Linked DNA regions of Struthio camelus. The protein of the gene in region 2 purifies or fractionates together with the protein of the main gene of each other region. This does not show direct contact. Links are inferred from orthologs where the notes say so. Each region holds a gene or a part of one and is shown on either strand. Other genes may lie near its edges.

The links.
Region 1: the proteins of NRP1 (region 2) and PLXNA1 purify together in Homo sapiens (affinity purification with western blotting; 4 studies listed by BioGRID). This does not show direct contact. The link is inferred for Struthio camelus from reciprocal best matches to the Homo sapiens genes NRP1 and PLXNA1.
Region 3: the proteins of NRP1 (region 2) and UBR2 purify together in Homo sapiens (affinity purification with mass spectrometry; 3 studies listed by BioGRID and IntAct, counting the BioPlex papers as one, with this or other methods). This does not show direct contact. The link is inferred for Struthio camelus from reciprocal best matches to the Homo sapiens genes NRP1 and UBR2.

Annotation. Positions count from the first base shown.
Region 1 is NC_090955.1:7,871,993-7,879,867, reverse strand, and holds the start of PLXNA1 (plexin-A1), read right to left. Parts: upstream 3,155-7,875; 5' UTR 3,041-3,154; intron 1-3,040. UniProt on the Homo sapiens protein: Coreceptor for SEMA3A, SEMA3C, SEMA3F and SEMA6D. Necessary for signaling by class 3 semaphorins and subsequent remodeling of the cytoskeleton. Plays a role in axon guidance, invasive growth and cell migration.
Region 2 is NC_090943.1:16,657,416-16,665,577, reverse strand, and holds the start of NRP1 (neuropilin-1), read right to left. Parts: upstream 3,033-8,162; 5' UTR 2,862-3,032; intron 2,684-2,861; 5' UTR 2,265-2,683; coding exon 2,198-2,264; intron 1-2,197. UniProt on the Homo sapiens protein: Cell-surface receptor involved in the development of the cardiovascular system, in angiogenesis, in the formation of certain neuronal circuits and in organogenesis outside the nervous system. Mediates the chemorepulsant activity of semaphorins.
Region 3 is NC_090944.1:112,908,931-112,916,613, forward strand, and holds the start of UBR2 (E3 ubiquitin-protein ligase UBR2), read right to left. Parts: upstream 3,069-7,683; 5' UTR 2,934-3,068; coding exon 2,856-2,933; intron 1-2,855. UniProt on the Homo sapiens protein: E3 ubiquitin-protein ligase which is a component of the N-end rule pathway.

The DNA.
Region 1 (7,875 bases), on a different chromosome or scaffold from region 2:
CGCGGAGCAATGCCAGCACCTTTGCTGCCTTGCCTTTTCCAAGGTCCATCTTCCTTCAGCATGCCAAAAAGCACGACTGACCTGCTCACTCGCCCACACAAGCGACTGCAGCGCCTAGCACCCTGCTCGGAGAGGCAAAGGCAGTCAAAATAAAAGCACCGTGGGATTCAGCAGAGGTCTGCTCCCGTAGGCAAGACTCCCCCTGACTTTGCAGGGAGCCTGACGGCACGAGCACTGCAACACCAGGCTCCTCGGCTCACAAATTCGCAGCTCGAGGCTGAGCCAAGCTCCCGCCGGTGGTTGACGCTACAGCCGGGAGCAAGTCAGACGGCAACAAAGGCCCTGACCTGCTCCGAGCTGGGAGAATAAACACGCACGAGTCTCCTTCATTAAGACCGATCCCAGGGCCAGATTCTTTCCTTTGTTCAACGGATGTGCAACGCGCAGCAACGCCACGGAAATGCATTGCCCGGCCTGACATTTGCACCCGGGAGGCAGAGCAGGGGCCGGCCCCAGCGGCTCCCAGCGCTGCCGGAGCTGCGGCTGGCGCGTCTCGGCATGGAGGAGGGGAGGCAGCCCTGCCAGCATGCAGCAGCGCGGCTTTTATTACCCTCTTCCATTTCAGCAGCGCAGCTCTCTCCCTAAACCGCCCGCACATCCCTCCGTCCCATCTCCGCTACAGTTAGGAGGAGTTTGCTTATCTTTTTCAGGGCCCTCTGCCTCCAACAGGAAAGAGTGCTTTGTTTTACGGACAGCAGCATGGGGCTGTTTTCCGTGGCTACCTGCACAGCCCCAAAGGGGCACGAAGGTTGATTCCCGTGCTCGACTCCAAATCTTTTGGGTCTGTGAAAAAGGGCCAAGAGGGTAAACTTCAGCCCTTCCTCCAGCCTCACCCCCGAAGAGCTCCAGCTACGAGCGATCTCTCTCCCTGAACCGATATTGCTGCGCTAACCACAACAAACAAGCAAACAAACAAAAAAAAAAAGCCATCAAAACTAATCTTCAGAGTACCAAGGGCAGCACAGAAAGCCCAGCCACCAAACGGTGCAAGAGCCAACCAGCCCCCCACCGCTGCTTCCCTGCAACTCCACCGGGGAAGAACGTCCGTCCATCCATCCCCAGGCACATCTGCCCACGCTTAATCCGAGCGCATGGCTTTTCCCTAAGGAGCGGCACTGGGACTTTCTAAGACGCACCCGGACCAGGACCGGGAAGGGCTGGATCCCCATCCCTTCTTGCCTGTATTTCACCCTGCCGTACGATCGCATACGCTGAATTTAAACTTCCTCACCACCCACACAGCCCGGTATTGTCTCGCTGCTGCCAGCGCTATAATTTACTAATATCAGAAGACTGGGACTAGGCAAGCAGGCAGAAGTAAAAACCTTCCCTCTCTGTAACCACTTAAGAAATTATCCGCACATCATCCGCGAGTCTTCTGGCCCACTGATTTTCCCCAGATTCTCTACGTTTCCACCACATTCGGTCTCCGGTGTCTTGAGAGAGATGCATCGAGTCACTCATTTTACCCACTGAGTATATACAAAAGACCCTGAGATTGTTCAGGAAGCAATTAGCTGCTGTTCAGAGGAAAATGGTGTTTTCAAATGGATAACCTTTGATGTAGTCAATAGCCTTGTCTCCTCTTTCCTTTTTTTTTTTTTTTTTGCAGCTTCCCACAAAAGAAAAAAAAAAATCCAGCAAAAGACTAATAATTCGCTCCGATACAGACCTCACTCCGCCAGCAGGGATTTTATCTCAAGCCCGAGGAAAAAGCAGCTTTGAAAAGGCAGCTCGTCTCCCCAACTTTTCTCCCCTGCGTGTCCCAGAGCATACGAGAACCATGAATATTCATCTGCGTGTTAGGAGGTCCTGCTTTTGTTTTGTCCTCCCCAAAGCACGGGGAAGGGGGGGGGAGCTAACAAGTGAGGTTAATGCCTGTCTTTTCTTTCCCATCCATCTCCTCTTTAACCAGTGACCTTCATGTTAAGTCCTGTTTACACAGCAGCTCCCCCCGCTCGGCAAGCACTTCACCGGGGGCAGAAGGAAGATTTTTTTTTTTTTTTCCCCCGCCAGGGGGACAAGGTAAAAGACGGGATTTCGGGATTTATTTCAGCGTGCCACAGCGATTTCGCAAATCCCTCCCCGCTCGCGCACTGGGAGCCGCCGCCGCGTGTGTTTGCGGGCATCAGCAGGGCGGATGCACGCAAGGGAGAGGGGTGAGGGCCACCAAACGCCCAGGGACCGCGGCTTCTCTCGCCGCCCTTCAACGCAACTCCCCGGCCGCAGGCACCGCGTCCCCCGCGGCCGCAGCGCGGACCAGAGCCGGCGAGGCTCCGCGGCCCCCCGACAGCTGCCCCGCGCCCCGGCTGGCGGCCACGACGCGACGGTGCGAGCGCCGGGACCGGCGGCGCCCCTGGCTCACGTCGCCCGTGGGCAGCGAGGGGGAGGGCGCCGGGGGGACACGTACCGGGCGATGCGGCGGCTGCGCCCCGCCGGGAGGCACCGGCCAGGCGGCGGGGGCTGCTCCGCCCGCACCCCCTGCCGTGCCTCCGCCCCCCCCCCCAAAAAAAATCACCGCTGGCTGCAGCCCGCGGCGCTCCGGGTCGGCGCTGCCCCCCAAGGGTAGGAGCAGCTCCCCTCCACCCCCCGACGGCGCCCTGCCAAACGCACGGGGCGAAGCGGGGGGACAGAGGGGCGAGCCCGAGAAGGGGGTTGGGGGGGGGGGTTCTCCTCCTCCTCCTCCCTCTGCAAGCGCCGGGAGCCGCGGAGCCGCCCGCCCCGGCCGCTCGGAGCGCAATGCGGGCTCGCCCCGGCCCCGCAGCCGCGGCCCGGCCCGCCCCGCGCTCCCGCAGCGCGGCGGCTCCGCCGGCCCGGCAGTGCCCTGCCCGGGCAAGCCCCTCTTCGCCTGATTTTTTTTTTTTTTTTTAAGGGGTGGGGGGAATGAGGGGGAAAACGCAATCCCGCCCGCCCCCAGCACGCACAAAAAGCAGATGCGCGCACCGCGCCCGCGGAGGAAAGTTGCAATCGGGTTACTCACGCCGTGGATCGCCGCTCGCCTCAGCCGTGCCAGCCATAATTGCATTCCACACCGAGCCGCCCGCCGGCCCCCCCCCTTCTCCTCCTCCTCCTCCTCCTCTTCGTCTTCCTCCTCCTCCTCCTCTTCCTCTCGGCCCTCCCCCCGCCGCCGCCGCCGCCACCCGGGGCTCCGCGCTCGCGCCGCCGCCGCTGCCGCCCCGCATGAATGGGACGGCGGCGCGGGGCCCCGACGGAACGCCCGCCCGCCCGCGCGCCCCCGCGGCCCGCGCACGCGCACGCCGCGGGGCGGGGGAGGGAGGGAGGGAGGGGCGGCGGCGCCCGCGCCCGCGCCTCCAGGGGGCGCCACAGCTCGGCCGCGCCGCGGAGGGGGAGGGCAGGAGGGAGGGGGCTCGCCCGCCCCGCCCCGCCTCTTAAAGGGGCGACACGCGTGGGAGGGAGGGAGGTGACTTAGGAGCGGCCACGGCGCGGGTGGGGCCGCGGGACTCTCCTGAGCAGCCACGTTTTCCCCCCCCGCCGGTCCCGCCACCACGGCGCTGCCGACCGCCGAGCCGGCCCCGGCCCCAACCCTGCCGGCGGCACCGCGCACAGCGGCCGCCCGGCTCCCTCCGTCCACGGGGCCAGCGTGGTCCCCGGCCGCCCGTCGCGCAGCCCTGAGCGGCCATGTCCGGGCGCGAAGGGAGCGGGGCGGGGTTGGGGGGGGGGGGGAGGCGGCCGTCAACACGACTGTGGGGACGAGAGGGAGGGTTTGGGGTGAAACACGCCCCGCGTCACCTGGCTGCTCGCCCGCCGCGGGACGCGCTGAGCCCCCGTGGCCATTTTGGGCCCCCACGAGCCTTGGGGCCTTGCGGCCATTTTGGGCCCCCACGAGCTTTGAGGGTCCGCGGCCGTTTTGGGGGCCGAGGCCACTTCGGCGCCTGCCCCGGGCCACGGCCCGCAGCCTCCCTCCTGCGGGCGGGCGGGCGGACGGACAGAGGCAGGACTTTGCTCTCCCGAGCTGCCAGTTCAGCATCTTTCCACACTGGCACCGCGTCTGCGGTGCTTTGAAAAATAAAGTCACAAAGGGGAGAAATAATAAAAGCCATTAAAACCAAAAAAAAAAAAAATTAATTGACGGTTTGAGTTGATTATTTGTCTTTTCAAAAAACACACACCATGCCGGCCACTTTTGTCACTTCCATTTTTTTTTTTTCTCCCCTTTAGGCTCTCTCCTTTTCTTTTCTCTCTTATCAGGCCTGGAAGCAACTTCCTTTCCCGCGCAGCAGCGGTGCCCCCTCTTCCCACCCTTTCCTCCCGCTCCCGGAGCCGTCTGCCTCCCTCCGGGCCCCCTCTGCCCACCAGCACCGGACACGGAGGCAAGGACGGGGTCCAGCACGGGTTTTTAGGTCCTACAGGGATGAGCGATGGTCTCTCTGTTGCTCTGTCATTTCTTAGTTGGGAAGTGACCTTTTTAAAGACAAATAAAGAAAGTGTTTATAATCAGGACTACACCCCCACAGATTTCATCAGCGGTGTTTGGGATATAAACGGCAGGGAGCTGCTCTACCCGATCTGACTGCCAGGGGATGGAGCTACAGGCACTTGCGCCTCACCAGGACCCCGGCCGGCTCGCTCAAGCACGGGGTCCGCGCGGGTGACTTCGTCCTGGGGCGAGGCCACGAGCTGCCAGCCACGCACATGACCTTGCAGGCGCAGATACCTCCCAATGTAGCAGGGGCAGGTTGCAGAGCGCCGGCAGTGGGGGTTTCCGGGCACTGGGACAATAAATACAGATGGTTTGTTCAGCCTGGCCCCACTTGCCTTCAGTGCAGCCACTCAGCCAGATCTGCGGCCGCACTGCCGGCACACGCTTTGCCCGTCCGACTCAGGCATGCCATTGAAGTTGAGGAGTCACCACACATCAGCTGCACTGCCGTAACGCGCGCTCTCACCTTGCACAGACACGCAAACGTGCTCATGTGGACCTCTTTCACGGAGGTTTGAGCAAGCGTGCTTGCCTCCGCATGCACCAGTAGTTAAGAGCATGTACACAGCTCGATACCCTGGTTGAAGAGGATAACTAATGCGTGAAGCCATGGAGACCAGGAAACCTCCGTCATCAAGGAGAGCGCAGAGCCTGCTGCCAGCTTTTGGGAAAGAGCAAGGAAGGAGAGCCAGAGATTGCTGGAAGCCCCTAGTGACCCTCAAGCAGCCAGAATGGAGAAGAAAAGGGGTCCTAGGGGGCTCCGGCAGGGCTAGGAAGAGGAGATGTAGTGCAACGTAGGTAACTCAGGTGAGTGTCACAGCAAAGGTGCTTTTTACACCCCGTCCTCAACTGCTAGGACGTCGGCACCGCTTGTGCTAGAGACTGACGTCGCTCAAACCCACTCGAAAGCACAGATAACATCCCTATCCCTCAGACAGCAGGTCCCTTCCCACCCAAAGAGGGTTCTTTTCCTCAGGTTTGGTCTTCCCTCCTTTATCCCACTGCCCTAACTTCGTCATCATCTGCCTTGTGGAGGCTCGGAGAAAGTGGGAATTGGTATGTTCCCTTTGAGATAGCAGTGTCAGTGCCTGCCTTTCTCCCACCTCTTATTTGTGCACAGAGAGGCACATGGGGCCCAAGCTTAAAAGCTTTCGAGACAGAGGAGAAAAGAACAAATGAGCTAGCTCTAACTGCAGGAAAGCGGCTGGGGTTTGGATCGCTTCCCCCAGATAGAAAGGAACAGTTCTCCTTTTCCTTTTTTTTTTTTTTTTTCCAAGAGACTAAATTTAGTGAATTCCTTTCACATTAAAAACTTGTCAGGTATTCACATCCAAAGAGCCTGCTACTTGGGTCTCTTGGGGGAGTTACTGAGACAGTGAAACCTCTTAAACGTATAAAGAAGGAAAAGATATTCAAGCAATCCCCCACCACTGCTTTTTAATGTGCTGTCTCTCAGGAGCACTCCACGGGCACCTTGGTCTCATGGCTACTATCTTGTGCTGCAGGCGCAAGAGGAGAGGCGATGAATTATTCCTCTCCTCGGGAAGCGCTTCGCGCACAGGGCAGGATCACCCAGCCCTTGGCAAGGCAGCAACCCAGCGGGCACCAGCCACCAGGCCACCGCTGCGAGAACCGTGTGAGACAGTTCCCCATTTCTCCCCTGCTCAGCTCTGGTTGGGAGGGAAGTCAGAACGATTTATTCTTGCTGAAGGAGAGACTGATGGATTGTCAAAATAGCGATGAGCAAAAAATCAAGGTGGCAGAGCTAAGAAAAGCACGCAGCCATCCTGGCTCCCCATCACACCTCCAGCCAGTTAGCAGCCCCCTCCTGACTCCTCCGAGGAGGGTCCGCCCCAGAGAGAGAGGAATGAAAAAGGACTGCAAGAAAAAACAAGCAGCCCCCGCACCAGGAGCCCAGCACAGGAGTCGGGGAGGGATCGGGTGCGCAGCAGGGAATTTTCCTGGGTTCATACAAGGTGGGAAGGAGCCTCAGGCTTGCAGCAGGCTGCAAAGCTCACTGGCTCCACACAGCCAGCCTAACGGCTCATCTCGCACCGTGCCCTGGGAGCAAGAAGACCTGAGAGCAAGGGGACACGCTTGTCACTCACATCGCTTCCCTCAGGATCTGGGCACCTCACCCCTACAGAGGGGCCCGCATTAGCCCAGAAAGCCTAGCCTTTTTGTCCTGCCTCTGATGGAGCTTTAATTGCTCTGTTTTCCCCTTCCCTTGTGCATCTTCATCCCTCTTTAACTGACAAACCACTGAGGACTGACAGACTCAGCCGTGCTCCCGCATGCCCTGGAGACAGCTGGCTTGAGTGGCACCTCAAAGGCACTCAAAATTTCAGAGCTCCACGGGGTGCTGGGAGGAAGGATTTGAAGCAGAAGATGACTCTGTTCTCAGCTGGACCAAAACCACAGAGGTTACAAGTTCGGCCGGCTCGTTCTCATTATGCTAAAAGCATGTGGCTGACTCTGCACTTCTTACGCAGAACTTTGACCAAAATTACATTTAGAGACAATCTGTTCCCGGTGTGTCTGGTGCACTTTCCTATGTTACCGAAGAGACGGAGGGGCATTTTGTTCTCTAAAAGCAGCCTGACAACTACTTTGTAAAAAGAAACTAATTGGGAGAGGATTAGATCGCCGAAGAGAGCCAGAATAGACGAGGAAGCTGTTCTGCTCAGCTCGCTGGGTTAATCCAGTCCAACTGAGTGCTGGGGGACTAAAAATAAGCAGCTAAATTTGTGATTTTGAACTGTTTTCAATTTCTGACTGCAAGAGCTTTCCCCTTGGGAATGTGAATTCCTGCACGGTGCATGCAGGTCTTCATACACAAGGCATCTCCCTTGGTTATGTCTCATGAACCATCTAAAAATGGATCCCCTAGAATGTGTCACCACAGGTTTGAACTCTCTGCTCTAAACAGCGATGCTTAGGGAAGAGATAAATTCAATGACCCCATCCCAGAGGCCTTTTCCTCTGCGAAATCGAGCTTGCCCAGAGAACAGCCTGCAACAAATATTTGGGCTTTGGGGACATTCACACCCAACCCTGCAGCTCAGCTCTGTCCACCAAGTCCCAGGACATCCACTGGAAGGCAAGAGGCTTCAAGAGCAGATCAGTTCTGCACAAATGTCAGCGATGGGTGTTTTTTTCCTCCTCCTGTCCTCATCGACATCTTTGCTAATAAAGAACCAGAGAACCGAAAGCCTGGGCAGACAGGCTGGGGAGGCAGCGCAGTGGCCAAACAGAGGGTTTGTCAAAGTTTTCCAGGAGGCGTCAGCAGCTCTTTAAGCTTCTTGACAGCCAGGATAACAAAATGTGTCTGCAGAGCTCTGGGGATCCAGAGCGAAATTAAAATGGGTAATGAA
Region 2 (8,162 bases):
TAAAAAGCAAGTCTATACACCACTATATCCCAATAACTATATGTACAGACTGCAATGCTGTGTCTAATACATTCTCTATGACAGCCAAATGGCATTTCTTGCTCTCAGCATGAATTTATAAATGTACAGAATTTTATTGTAGGAAAACCAGGTCAAATGGAAATGAACAAGGAAGTACACATCAAAAATGCATAAAGCTGAACACCTTAACGGGGATTATTTGCCATAAATTAGAAAGGAAGGCGATGATATGTATTCTGCTGTCTGGTCAAAAAACAGATATTGCTAAGCATGTTGCTGGGAATGGTTATCTTATTATTTATTTCCGCTTTGCCTTTGTAAAGCAGGCTATTTGCCTCTGACCAGAACAAAAGGCGTTGCAGCTCAAAGCTCAAAAGCTGTCACTGGTGATCTTTCTAATCCGCCTTACTAGGGCTCGCAGAGAATCCTGCCTTTTCCTCTCTCCGTAAGCACACTCGGAAAGTGATCCTGTCTCATTAAATCCACTCCAGCCCTGCAAACAACATGGCAGAGTCTGGCATCTGTTAAATGCCTGAAATAAAGCAGTGCTGCTTCTAGTCACTTGACAGAGTCACTTCAGTGGACGCTGAGGTGGACTCACTACCACCAGCGCGCCTTAATCTCCGACTTCTGGGAAAGTGACAGTGTAATAAGATAATACGGTCTGCTAGACTCCCTGGCTCTGTGCAATCTCCCTCACACTTGATTAAGAAGAGCAGTTTCTAATGACTTTGGACCATTAGTTCTAAATGAGGTTAATGAATTAATTTAGCAGACACTAGCATGGGCTGTAGGTGAAGGAGGTATTAGCAGGTCTGGTAGGTTACAGAGGAGGTTAACGGCCTGGGTGACTCCAGGAGGGCCACCACATTACCCGCTCAAGGTAGTGGTTCTGCCCAGCGGCCCACCCTTCTACTTTTCTTTTAAGGGGGAGTAAACGATCGAGAAGACCGCAGGGCGCCCCCTCCCATGCTCAGAGGGGTGCAGAGCCAGGAGCAGTGCCGGGCTCTCCGGGGGCCAGGGAGGCGGCTGCCGGCCGCCGCATCTGGGGCTCGGGGCAGCTCGCCCAGCAGCCCCCAGCCCGGCTTGACGCTCGCCTGGTAACGCCTTCGCTCCTGCGCCCCATCACCGGGGGAGGCGGCTCGTCCTTAGCAAATCAAGCAGCTTCCTCAAAATATATTGGGAAAGAGATTAACTTCCATCATAAAACATGCGATTTTAATGCGCTCTCTTCCAAGAGGCTCCACTTGCGGTCTCTTATTAAAACAATATACCAGCGTAAGTGGAGGGTGCTCTCTTCTTTTAATTACTCTGATTTAAAACCCAGTCAGGCAAAAGTAAATATTTGATAATTAGTTAATAATAATTGCTTAGGATTTGTCGGGAAAGGAAAACTCGCACGAGCTGTTTCTGGAACGAGAGCTAAACGTCAAACAGTCCCACAATTAGACCGTCTTTAAAAATGCATCAAGCAGTGAAATATTCCCGGTGCCCTGGCATTGTTCAGGGAAGGAGGAGCGCGTTGCTTTTAATTAATTCTGTTTTCACGGGCTGCCTAATAGTAAACTAGCTAGATCAGTCATTTGTTGGAAGATTTCGCTATTAGAAAGGAGTCTTGAGCCTTCACACAGAGGCTCAGCTTTTCTCTTGGCACTGTGCAAGTTGCACGTAAACTGCACACTTTGGAAAAGGGTACGCTAGGGAGATCTCCGTCTGCAGACTACCCGCAGGTACACACACAGCTAGTAAAAGGCATGATACTCAATCTTGCCCTTTGGAAAAGAAAGGAGGGAGAAAAAGCCTTTTCCTTAAAGTGTTCATTATCTTTCAGATTTCGGAGGCGACACTTATTTAATTGCCTATGGGAGGAAGCATTATCAAGATAATTGACGGTCCTGATCTTGTGAGAACGAGCAGCCTGCTTTGTACAACAGCCCCAAAGAGCGGAAAATAAAGTGAGAAGGCAATGCCAGGGCGGGCGAAACTCAGGCGAGGACCGCGCCGCGTCGGTCCTTTGGCAGAAAGTTCCCCGCAGCCGGGCTCGGGTCGGTGCCGGCCCCATTGTCTGCCGTGCCCCATTGTCTGCCGTGCCCCATTGTCCTCCCTCAGAGCCTCGGAGCCCGAGCGCTGAAACTGCTTGCCTACGCTGAGACCCGACGTCCCCTGTGACACTTACCGCTTCGCAGAGCCCTGGCGAGGGTGAAGGTGAGGGCTGCACAGTGCAGGAGAAGTCTCCAATCCATCTTCCCTTCCGAGCGCAGCGAAAGGAGGTTTAAAAAAAAAAAAAAAAAAAAAAGCCCTCCACACACAACTCTTCCTAGGTCTTAAATCCTCCAGCTGGAGTTGGGAGCAGAAAGCACGGTCCGCAAGGGCAGTCCCCGTGGCCGAGAGCTGCTGGCTTCTCTTTCTGTGCCTCAAGTCGCCCGCATCCTGTCATTTAGCTTCGGCTCCCTCTCCCTTTCCCCACACTTGTTCCTTCTCCAGGCGCCACTGCCCCTACCATTCCCAGGGAGACTAGAAAGCCAAATGAAAACGAGGGAAAAAAAAAACAGAACAAAAAAAAACCCAAACACACAAACAAGACAGACAAAAATCCTTGCGGCTGCCGGCACCTCGGAAGCGCTCTGCCAGGGAGGGGTCCGGGGCACGGGGCGGGGGTGCTCTGCGGAGAGGAGAGAAGCAAGAGAAAGCGGCGGTGAGCGGGGACGAGACGGGCTCAGGAGTTTTGCGAACTGCATCCCGCCCCGCCGGCCCGGCCCGGCCCGGCCCGGCCGAGCTGCCGCTCCCCCGCCCGGTGCCGGCAGCCCGGGGCGGCGGCGGCGCCCGGCGCCCGCACTCACCTGCCCCGGCGGGAGCGAGCGCGCCGCCGCCGCCGCCGCCGCGGGGACTCCGGGCCGGCCGCGAAGGGGGAAGCGCCCGGGCGGCTCCTGCTCGCAGCCTGAGGAAGAGGAGCGCAACTCAGCGGCAATAAGAGAGGCAGAGGAGCCGCCGTCTCCCGAGCCCCAGTCCCCTCCCCCTCCCCGCCCTCCTCCTCTTCCTCCTCCTCCTCAGCCCCCCAAGACATCGGCAGCGCCGGAGGATCAACAAACAAACACAGCGAGCCCCAGCCCCGAAACCCAGCGGCGGATGGGTGGGCTAAGAGGGGCGGTCGGGGGGCGAGGGGCGAGGGCCGGCCTCCCCCGCCAGGCCGGTCCCGCGGGCAGGTAGAGCGGGCGGGCGGCGCCCACCTGCGCCCGGCGAGGCGCGGAGCGGAGCGGAGTGGCCGCCGCGGGTCCTGCGCGCCCGCGCACCGCCGCCGCCGCCCTGCCCTGCCCTCTCTGCCCTGCTCTCCCTGCGCCCCGGCCCGGGCACCCGCCCGGCCCTCCCGGACCCGCTCTTTTCCTCCCCGCTTGCTCCCCAGCAAGTGCATGCGTGCCCCGAGGGGGCACCCGGCCCCACGCCTGTCCCTCCGGAGCCCCGCCGTGGGGCAGCACCGTCCTCTGCCAGCCCAGGGGCTGCCGGCCTCGCTGGCGGGGGCCGAGCCGCGGCCACCCCTTTGCATCCCTGCACCCTCTGCCACCCGCCCCTATTGGCACCCCCTTTCCCCCCACCGTGGCTCTCCTTCCCTGCCTGCCTCCGCTTCCCTCACCGCTTTGCCCCCTCACTCTGCCCATCTCCCCCACCACCTCTGGAAGGGCCCGAGGAGCAGCTGGGCTCCCCCGGCCGCCTCTGCTCCCCAGGGAGGCTGCGCGACCTCAAGTCCTCTCTGAGGAGTGCGTGTCTCCTTCTGAGCAATCCTCACACCGTGCCGGGGACAAAGGGGACACGGCGGGCTTTGAATCCCTCTGGTGCCTTTGGTGGTCTGGTGCTCCCCAGGCGAGGGCCTGTCCTCTCCTTGCCCTGTTGCTCTGCCTTACAGGCTGCCCCTTCGCCCAGGGAGTTATTACCTATTTGAACCTGGCTGCTGCTTTTATGTGGAGTGCTTTGAGCTCCCTCTGTGTCGAGGGGAGCGGCCTCTAATCTGCTCCCTAGAGCAGGGGTTAGAGGAAGAGCTCTGAAGGCTGAAAGTTGAAACACAGTGTTAAATGGTCCCAAAAGATGGGTTTGCGCTAGGAAAATGACCTGTGGCCAGTGGTGGATGTCAGCCACTCTCCTCACCCACAGCAGAACTTGGAACTGCTCCACTTGGAGTCTTTCTGAAGGATCAGAAGGAAAAAAGCCCGGCTTTGGTAGGAGGCAGGGTCATTTTCCTGGGGCAGCTGGAGCAGTAAATCCCTGTCCACTCCAGAGATGTAACTATGTTTGAAATAATTTTCAAACATAGTTGTCAGTTTGCAGCCGCACAGATTAACTACAAATGTGTTACATCTGTGTTCAGAAATCATACACAGATTCGGCCCCCTCCATCCCTTTGTCTCCCGCCTGGAGTCTAAGCCTTCCACCCGCACTCTCCCTCGCTGCCCTTTTGAAGCCTCGACTTTAAGGTCAGCTGAAGTCTGGAGATTAAGTCCATAGGAAATCTGTCTGCCGGTTTCATGCTGTACGCTCTCTCATCCCTACTTTCTGAGTTTTTGCCAGACATTCCCGTTCTCTTCCATGACTGCAGTTCTGTAATATCAGGCACTAAAGCACAGTTTGATCCTCTTATATTCTCTGTGTGCTTCATTCTTTTCTTCTCTTAGTCTCTGCCCCTGCCCATGCCAGGGTCTGCAGGCAGGCCACGGTCCTCAGCTGGGAGCTGGGCAGGCTGGAACTAGTCAGGCTGAGTTATTGGGTTCAGTCTCATTTCCCTGTCTTTAGGCAGTCGCTGGATCATCATATACAATACTTATGCATTTTCTTGATTGATTGGGATGTATATTTTATGGGTAGCACATTAAGCCCCCTTTAATTTTTTTTCTTTTAGTGAAATTCCCAGAACAAGGGGGAAGGGGAGAAGTAACAGTGCTCTCTGCTTGTTAAAACTCTTATGCTGCTGGACAGTCCTTGAGATAAATTGGTACTGTCCTGAAGCACATTCCAGTCTGAGACTGACTGAGGGACAATACTGCTATTTAAATAAAGTATATCTATTTTTGAATTCAGAAATTGCCTACTAATGGTAGCTTATTGGAGGGTTTGAATAAGTGTATACATACATGTTCATGTTAAAAGCTCACTCTCAGAAGCCAAGTTTAATTTTGAAAGTGAAAACTATTAAGCAGAAATTCAATGGGTGTGTATATTAAAAAATTACATTTATCATGTAGAAGTGGTGACTGTCTCGTTTTGGGATTAGCATTGTCCTATCAGATAGGGTCTATGAATCTGAAGAGAGAAAATTACCTGTTCCCAGTTGTATGCTCCAAACAAAAAAAAATTTTTTCCCCATTTGTTTTCCTACCAGATTAGCAAGTTATTTTCTGTAGATTTAGGCACAATATATTGTTAGATAGTATATTTTAAAAGAAATTCTGAAAGAAAAACTAAATACTTAATTTTAGGTTATTTACATTAAATGAAGCTGGTATAATATGCTAAATGGTCAAGTCTAACGACAAAGGTTGCTTTTATCACCTCAACCTACCTTGTAACCACTAATCCATATACCAAGGTTTATTTCAACATGCTCAAGTCTAAAAGATCATTGCTTCCTCCTCTTTCACAGAGATATATGCACGAGGCTGCAAAGACAATTTACCAGGAATAGCCTCTGTTGCGGCGAATGCGGCCCGTGAAGCAGGACTTCTGCCTTTCTTCAGCACAGCGTGGACACTTTGGGTTTGACACCAAGGTTTTTTTTTTCTGTAGGAGCTTTTTTTCCTAAGGCCTAGAAAATATAGCAGAGTCTGCCCTAGAAAATATAGCAGAGTCTGCTATATTAATGTCCTCTCCTATCATAATGTAAATGGTATTAGTCTGTTTTTGCTACCCATCTTTTTCTCTGTGGTTCACAGACATAGGCACATGTTTCTATTCATGTATGAATTGCACTGAAATGAGGAGTGAAGATGTTCTGTCCTTGGTTTACATATATTTATCTGAAAATGTTTAATCTTTAATCATCATGAATATAAACTGGCATCAAATGAAACATTCAGAAGTCTTTTTTTATAATCCACTTCTCACATTTTAGTCACGGTATTATGGGTCCTGATCCTGCAACTGCTTACACATTTGTTCAGCTCTCCATTTTCACATCAGTAATGTGATTTTATGGAAAGGATGAGTTAGTGTTATAAGACTGAATCTGAATCCAGTGTATGTAAAAGTTAATGGAGTGGCTAGCTCTGGGGTTTGGGTTCAGGCCCATCTTTGCTTCGCAATTTGACTTGGTGCTTATAATGCTTTTTTGAAGATTGTCTGCACTTCTATTATAAACTTATTTCTCAAGAAGTTTATAATTCAGCCATAAAAAATATTTGCTGTGGGCTAAATCATGTAATGTAAAACTTAAAATTCCAAAGGAAAAAACAGTTTTCCTATTTTAACAATAGCTGAACAGAGCAAACTGATGTTTACTCCTTTATGCTCTCACATAGCACAGTAATGCATTTAATTCAAAATTAAATTTGGCAAATGGTTAATCCATGGCTGAAGACACCTTTATTTGGCATTTTTTTGAGGAAGAAACACAACAAATTAAACCCATTCATAATATTAAATTTCTGAAAACTGAGACTTTCTACCAGTATTTCCTGGAGAACTAGAAATGTATTTCCTTGACAACTAGTGCCTGCTAATATCTTAATATATAGTCTGGTACTCATTTATGACCTTTGTATTAATGTTTTCTTTTCTTTTGTTTATCTTTCCCGAGAATCTGTCCAAAATTAGGCTTCTGTGTCGTCTCCTCTCCTGTTGCTTTGGCCATGTGAATCACTACTTGGCTTCCTGTTGCTTACTGTACTGAACTGCAGCTATTCCCCCTTATCTTGAAGATCAGACATACATTTTCCCTTGTCTCTATCTGTCCTCTTTCAACCCTTTTATCTCCTACATCTTTTATCCTCCTACTCAGTCTCTCACACCCAATGCTTCTTTACCCCGTCCTCTCACGTTACACCTCTTTTCCACACATAGCCACATGCATCTAAACGATCCTTCCTCTTTTCACTGCACATATTATCCTTCTCCAAAGAACCATTGCAAAAACATGTTTTTCAAAAAACCGAGCCAACTAATTTATACATTATTTAAACATACATATGGCGATACATTGCAAAACACATTTAGATCCTATATTGTATTGCTTAGAGATCAGATTCATTTGCATTTACATCATCTCCACATTAACTACATTGTTAGGATTGTAGGGACTTTACAAATATCTTACCAAACTCCTTGCAATCACAGCCGTGATGTCTCGCAAATGCCTTATCAAAACATGTTCATCATCCTGTCCAAACACATTCCACTCCAACAAATTAGCACAGCCCGAGGCTTTATTAGTTGATTATCTGATTATCAAAAGTCAAATGTTTTCATCTATGTCAAAGGCAAATCATCACACATATCATTCTACTTCCATTCCTATTTTGACAACAAGCTAGTCAGGTCTCTCCTAAGACTAATTCTTGTTTGCTTGCACTGCTACAGCTGCCAAAATCTGAGTGTGGTCAACACCACACGCTTCCAAATCTTCCCCACCCCTTTCTTTTCTCCAGTACTGCTTGCATATTCTCAGTGTTATCTGCTTTTTTTCTAAAATAGGATGTGGGAGACATATACAGGATAAATGTGGATTTATAATAGTATACTTACTAATAATACGTGATCATACGTGTAATACAATACGTGTAATACAAAGGGTTCTGAAATAGCTATTTCTATGATGAAGGAAATAATGCATAGTAAATCCACCCATATGGACTAAGAATCTGACTGTATTTCCATTGATGGTAATGACAAACTCCGTCTGACTTCAAAAGGAGAAAAGCACCCCCAAATGACGATAATGGACCCTTAGATTATGAACTTCTTTTCTTAACTTCAGTTTTTCCCCATTTGGTTGCACAACAGGTATATCAGTGTCTGTGTTTACACTGAGATAACTGCAGCAAAAAGCCAAAATAACAGTTTCTTTCAAAGTAGGGCCTTGCTAGACTGAAAGTCTATAATCATTAAGAGGTAGGTGAAAGTAGTGTTAGACGTATCCTTACATTTCTTGCCTTGTTCTGTTT
Region 3 (7,683 bases), on a different chromosome or scaffold from region 2:
TTAAGAGACTACTCCACAAAAATGGAAACATTAACATTTTCATTGCTAAGAATTTGCATCCTTTTCCCTAGCTCATGAATCTTTTGGTCTCTTTCCATCAGTTGTGCCAAAGACGTACTGCTGCACGAGGAACTGACCTAACTGCAGCGGAACCAACTTAGTGTCTTCCATCATCTCTCTTCAGTAAGATCATTTTTAGATGATTTTTCTAGAGCACGTATTAGTTAAAATACTTGCATTTTGTTCTTAGCAAAATGCCTTTAATTTCAACTTTTTAAATCTGAAGTACCTTAGTAATTTCTATCTAGAAAAGATATAGCACATATTAGTTACACTACAAGCTCAGACAAATACCTAGCCAGAGAAAATTGTTGTTCCTCAGGTAAACAGCTTTCCCTTCCCAAAAATTCCAGCAGTACTTGCCTGAAAGTTAGGTGTGGCAACACTGGATGTCATCACACCTACGTCTCTTCACGAACTGAATTCTATACACGTAGCTGTGCATATAGTTCTGAGTATTAGATCCTGGCCAAAAGAATACCAGAAGGAAAGAAATGTGGACTGCTAGGACAAGGAAATAGATGCATTTCTGGTGTCCCTTAGAGTGCTTGTAAAACAAAACAAAATAACAAAACAAAACTGAAAGCTATGCTAACTTGCTAGCGGACTGATACCTGAGAGGCACTGAATCCCAGTAAAAAACTACTCAAAACTTTAGAATTTATTTTTTGGCCTAAGTATTTCATATTAGACAAATACTAACTGAAAACTTGCCTAATCTTCTACCCTGAATTGACACGTAGGAAAAATTAATATTCTACCCTGCCATGAGATTCTTTTAATAAAAAGGGAAATGTATCCTCCTTCATTTCCTCCCCTGACTTATTCTCCTGCACTTTTGAGTGCCAATAAATAAATAAATAAATAAATAGAATCAAAAAACATTGTTTAAATAACACTCATACAAGTAAACACCTAAGGGTCCATCAGAGTTTCTATTAAATTACATTTAATTAAGAGACAAAATAGCTGAACAAAATGCACGATACAAAAAAAGTCATGAAACAACTCAATTTACTACTTCCAGAGCTAAATGGCATACCTTACGTATTTATGGCTTTGGTTAGCTATATAAATTAATATCTGCAATGTAGGCTTATATTCTGTTACAGATGACAGTCATTTATTCTTCTGATTATTGTTCTTTGGAGGTTCATAGTTAACTTGTTGCAATAAGAAACTGAAATGCAAAGTACTATAACTATAGCTTTGGACTGGCATTTATTTTGTTAGTATTGTGCTATCAGCAAAGTAATACTATCAGCAAAGGAGGGAGAAAAACAGACCTAAAGACCAGCTGTGCTGTTTACTTACACGTTCAGGGAGTGCCAATAGCATTTAACTGCTAGCACACTGTGGGTCTGAAACGAACAGATCGCTGAATTGTAGCTTATGCTGGTGATTATGGGGGAAAAATGAGAAAGAACTGACTAAGTTTAAAGAAGACCTTGCACCTATGGCAGATTCTTAGACATGTGCCATTTGGTGTGCCTTTAGCTCAGGTAAGTAACTAACACATGCTCTAGAAAATCATCTAAAAATGATGAACCTACGTAAACCTATACTGCTACCTACACTGAACTAAACTAGCTAGGATATAGCTAACTGGGCACATTTGCCTACCTAATCACACCTTTGTCTCTGCACTGTAGATATACGACAGTAATCTGAGGCTAACCTGAATTACAACGTTGTCTTTCATTTTATTTTGGAAAGGAGACAATGTAACTCTCATTAAAATACACGAAAAAGCTCTCTGACGTCTTATCCTACAGAAACGCACACAAAGCACGCCAATATGTTCACAAACGTATAGATATAGTTCCTCAAATGCACCTAAATGTACCTATAAGATCAGGCATCTACCTCAGAAGCAAAAATAAAATGGTTCCTTGAAAACTTTACCCTTAAGATTCCCCTTCTTTGACCTTCCTGCTACTCTCTACAAATGCTGGAAAAGTCTATATAAGAAAGTAGGTGACTTCAAGTATTACCCTGATTCTACTAGCTATTTCCTCCACAAGCTTCCCATCCTAATAGTCCCAAACTTAACTGGGATAAGCTTTCACCAGAACTGCATCTTATATACTGGAGAGGAGGAAAAAAAAAAAAAAAAAAGGAGGGGGTGGGGAGCGGGAACCCTGTAATAAAAACCTCAATCTTGCAAAGCGTATATGGGACGAGGCTTCCACTTAAATTAACAGGCTAAGGAACAGGGAGGCTCTTCTCGTTTCAAGACAGCGAGAGGTGAAGCAAAACAGCAGCACAAAACTCCCGAGCTGCGTGGAGAAGGCCAGGAAGCAAGGGCAGCCCGAGGGACGAGCTCCCACAGGCCAGGCCGCGGCCCCGCCGCCCCCGCTGCTGCCTGGCCGGTGCCCTGGCGCCGCCGGGCGCTGCGGCCGCGGGGCTGGCCCGGCCCGAGCCGCCCGAGCAAGCCCGCACAACAGGAAAAGCCGGCTGCGTTCAGGCTGCCGCAAGAGCGACACGGGTGACAACAGCACGTTGGAGCCGGAGAGCGACGCGGCTTCAAGCCCGCAGCGCCCTTCGCAGCGCCCAGCCCGCGACCCCCGCGGGGAAAGCCCCTCTGCCCCCTCCGCTCCCCCCCCTCCCCAGCACGGCCCCTCTAGCCCTCACAGCCCGGCTGTACTGCCCCCCCCCCCCGCCCCGCCGCCGTTACCGCCGGCCTAGCAGCCCCCGCTCCCTCCCTCCCCGCCGCCGCCAGGCACCGAGCGCGCTTCGGCCCCGGGCCCGCCGCCGCCCCCGCGGCCCGGCGACAGGGCGCGACGGCGCCTCACCCCGGCGATCTCCTCGGCGGAGCACTCCAGCAGGCTCTTGTCAATAGCCTGCACCTCCGCCTCCAAGTCCGCCGCCATCTTCTCCCCTCCCCCGCCCCGCGCCGAGGAAGGGACACCCGGAACCGGGCCCGGCCGGCGGCTCTGCGAGGGGAACCCACTTCCGCCCCGCCCGGCCCCCTCCGCGTCACCGCCCTCCGCGTCACCGCGCCGCGCCGGCCCCCGGAGCACGCTGGGAGTTGTAGTCTTTCCGCGGCGCCCGCACGCCGCCTCCCCGTCTCCTCGGAGGCGGCGCCCTCCCCGGCCACGGCAGGCGCGGCCCGGCCCGGCCCGGTTCACTCCCTCCTTTGCTTCCTCCCTTCTAACTCAAAGCGATGCCCGGGGGGAGAGGGTGGCCGGGCCGGGCTGGAGGAGCCCTGCAGTCCCCGCAGGCCGCACAGCTCGCCCGGCCCCCGCGGGCGCGGGGGTCGTCCCGCGACACCTGGACTTCGGTCCCGGTACACACGCACGCCAATATTGTTTGCCTTCTGGTTAAGTTTTTCAGATGCACTTTGGTCACCCTTGCCTGTCAGCCAGGAAGGTGAAAAACTGCTTTATTCAAGGAAAGAAAAAACAATCCTGCAAATTACATGGATTTGGAGCTACGGCTTAAAGAGCAATTTCACAAAGTGCAAAAATCGCTGAAGCTCTAAATCCCGTTTCGCAGCGGCCCTCGTTCCCCGAGCCCCAGAGGAGGCGCGCGGCCCCGGGGGCGGACGGGCCGGCCGCCCCCCTGGCCTAGCAGGGCGCCTTCGCGGCCTGCCGCCCTGCCGCCCTTCTCTGCGCCGGCCTGAACCCGGCACCGTCTGGGCACCTACGCAGAGATGGCGACCCGGTTTGCCAGAAATTACACCAGCAGACAATACCAAGGAAGCCCCTGCTCCAGCCAGCTTACGCTCCCAGATTTGCTCCAGGGTGCAAGAGGTGGATGCACAGACAGGAGAGTGGCAAGACAAACTGTGCTACAATTGCGTGAAGTATTAGTCAGCGATGGTCGTAAATGTTACCATTGCCAGGTGATAGTGATTTACAACAAAAGCATGCGTTAAAAGTGGGTTCTAAACAGCAGTTTGTGCCTGTTAACGATTTTCAAAAGCTTCTCGTGGTGGTTGTGCACAGTTGGGTTTTCTGCTTGTTTTGCTTCTTTTTTTTTTTTGGTCTCTTCTTCTTCCTTCTCCTCAACTAACAACATAAATATTGAGTTACTCAGGGGATAGCCATTACCTTATTTTTGTCTAAAAGTAACAGATACATTTCGGGCCATACACTAATGAAAGAAAGAAATTGGGCAGCGCGCCGTTGGCTGGCGGCCCTTGAACGGCTTTAACGTTCCTCGCATCAGGGGGCAGCAGCGCACGCTTCCCTACTAGGCGTACTCTACCAGCTCTTGTTTAGAAACCATTGCATTTACATACTTTAATTTGTTTGTGAATTCTGGTTAATTTTTGGAGATGAAAGGAACACACATCTCTGGAGAGGCTGTTTGCAAGAACTGAAAAAGATGTTTTTTTTTCACCAGAGCTATGAGAGAATCGTAAAAGCATGGCCTTTAGAATATTAATTTCACCTCTTAATATTCTAAGGAGAATCTTAATTTCCTTTTGTCGGATTGTATCATTACTATATAAAGGGTACATCTTTCTACTTCATTTATTTTTGTTTTCCACATTTTGCATAATTGTTCTTAGAACAGAGAAAATAATTCAGTATTCCTCAGAAGATCAGTAAAATCTTCACTGCCTCTTATTCATGTGCTGTTAATGCACAAGGAATACAGAAGATTGCACTTGTCTGGAAGAAGGCAGAGGGTAAAAGAAAGCTGTATGATTTAATGATCTCTCCTCGGCTGCATGTAGAAAATGTTAGAAAAACCCAGTGGTCCAGTAATACGAAAGGCATCTTATTTTACCTAGAAAGGAGGGTGACCCAAAAATAAACTAAACTTGCAAAGCCGTTATTTCAGCCTAACAACTTCTTAGGTATACTTTTTTATAACCTTGGATAGAAATTTTCATAACTTTTAGTCTGTGCCATTAACTTCATAATGATTAGATATTATTCAAATTCAGGAACAATATTTAAGGTTGAGGAGCCAAACTGTCTTTATCTTCTGCCAAAAAAACTAATTCTTCCCAGGTCTATTATCAGATAAAAACTGAAGAAAATAAATCCATAGGATTTAATGTTAATGGGGTTATTATTAAACCTTCATAGCATTTCCCTGCTCTCAGTGATGTATTTCTGGGTTTCATCTTGCTCTCAACACACAAGATAGCCCACAGAAAGCTACAGAATCAGGGCTGTAAAGCTGTAGATATCTGTTATATCTCTTCGACCTTCTGATGCGCCTGTGTAAGCACCAGCTTGTCTCTGCCATTAAAATAACTAAATGGCACTATGAACAGGAGGGGTCGAGTAAGTTAGTTAGCCTCCGGTATGTTTAATACAAGCTGCATTCATTAAAAACAATGTAAATATACATAATTTATTATATTATATTATTATATAATATTAATTTTCACAGTAGAGACTGGTGGTCCCTATCTAAAAACTGTTTTAAAAGCTACTAACAAAACAGGATCTTCCACCCTACAAAACTGCCTCTCCACTTTAGTGTAACAGAAGCCACCAGCAGCAGCCAAGCTGAGGTCTAGCTATTTTGAAACAGAAAGGGCCTCCAGTAGAGCATGCTCTGAAGAGCTGGTCTGGTTACAGAACTGATTGTCTTTTTGGCAGAATATTCCTTGAATCTGACCATTTTCAGGGCATGTTGCAAAGTCCTCCACAGCATTTGAGAATAGGAATGGAAGCCGTCATAAGGTAAAGGGATGGTGGAGGGAGTTTTTAAGTGGCTGGTTTGGTGGTATGTTGACTGTGCCTTAAATGCAGTTGTTTTAAGTGCATTGATTTGAAAATAAACAGACAAATGTCTATATAGACTGTAGGGACAGATGTCTTCTTTACAGACCCAGATAAATAAAATGTTATTCAATTTTTCCCACATTGATGGATTCTTATGTCATTAGACAGACACCTTAAGTCTTGAGAGATGGATTCAGAATTGCATTTTATTCAGTAAGAAAGGTTCATCTCCTGCTACCAAAAAATAAAAGTAGTAGTTAAAAAATGTACTTCTTTGTCTACTCTCTAAAGCAGTGCTGTAGCTGTAACTTAATTTCAAAGTTTAACTATTAAAGCAAATGATCAGCATTTTGTTGCTTTATTGCAAACCTATATCTAAGATCATAACCTTGAAAAGACATCTGTATCTCTCTCTTCAAACTTCTGTAAGTCAGCAGCCCTTTACGAGTAAAGCATGTGTCTAAGAGTAGGATTCAGGTTTCTATTTTCAATAACAGTAATTTTGACAGAACAGTTTGCCTAGCAGATACTGAATGACCAAAGTAGTGATTTTTACATTGCAAATAAAATTGTTAAAAGCCATAGTCATTTACGTGGTTTCCCTCCCTTCCTCTCTGGTGCTAGTTAAGGTAGGTTTGCAGTCACCATCTCCTACATTGTCTTCAGATAATTTCAGAAGGTAATTCTTTTATTTCTGTACTGCCAATTCCAATGACAAATTACGCTGACCAAAATAGATTTTTGCCTGTGATACTGTTAATTAAAAGATGAATTGTGAATGAGGTGAACAATGACACCCCGTACTTGCTGGATTGATAAGAGGGAGTTCACTAATCAGGACATTATTCAGATAAAAAGGCCAGCTGGTAATCTGCAAACACAGGTTATTTTAAGAATTTGGTTCAAAATTAGAGTATTAAAAATACGATGTGACAATCTGTGTAGGTGATGCTTTTTTTTTTTTTGGAGGTAACAATGCTATAGTATCAGTCTTTTTGGCAGTAAATCAGAACATATTTTTTTCTCTACTTTGTCTTTGCAAGGCTATGATCTTAGATTTAGGTATGTACTATTTTAAACTATGATGTCAAGAAGTGACAAAAAATAAAATGGTCGATATTAAAAGCAGAGTGTATCACATATAATAGTGAACAGGAGATACAGTGGAAAGCATAAAGATGCTGCAGCCATCATGCCATCTCGGTGAATGTTCTGTGAACGTCTAGCAAAGGCAGTTATATAACTGATTTTTATTGTGTTAGGCAACAGCAGGATTGGTAAGCAAACTGATGTGCAGAATTAGAAAGCTTCTTCCATAGTGAAAATGAAGAGAAAAAAGACAGTGGAAAGGTTCTCACTTAACATCCAGTAAGAGGGTAGGGTAAGAGGGTATGCATCTTCATTAATGCATCGTGGCAGGCTGGCAACATGATTTATTCATATCATGCAATGTCTTAAAAAAAAGACAGTGCGAACTCAGGCTGTGGTAATTTTGCTGCTTTCTGCAATTTAATATGTCAACAATATAGAACTCAAGCTGGTAAGTTAAAATGCCAGCCTCTGAAAGAGATTTAGTGGAAGCTAAGCTAATAATCAGCAATGAGTTATACAGGGGAGAAAAATTAACACAGAGGTGAAGGGAGAAAATATACGCAGAAAATTGTGCCTGATCTCATTCGTTTTCACTATAAATTCAGAAGAATGCTAATGGATATTTAGACATACTAGTAAAACAAGCAGCAGTTCCATGAGCTGGTACTAAGAAAACCTAAGCTTGTGTCTCACAGGTGATCAACTTTGACACCTAAAAAGGCGCAAGCTCCACTTAAAATTTTTGATGCAGCTAATGCCTTTTTCCCCTGCTTATTCTCTGATACCTATGAACATACAGGTTTACGTTGCAACCTTCCCCTAAGCAAGGCTTTTCTTT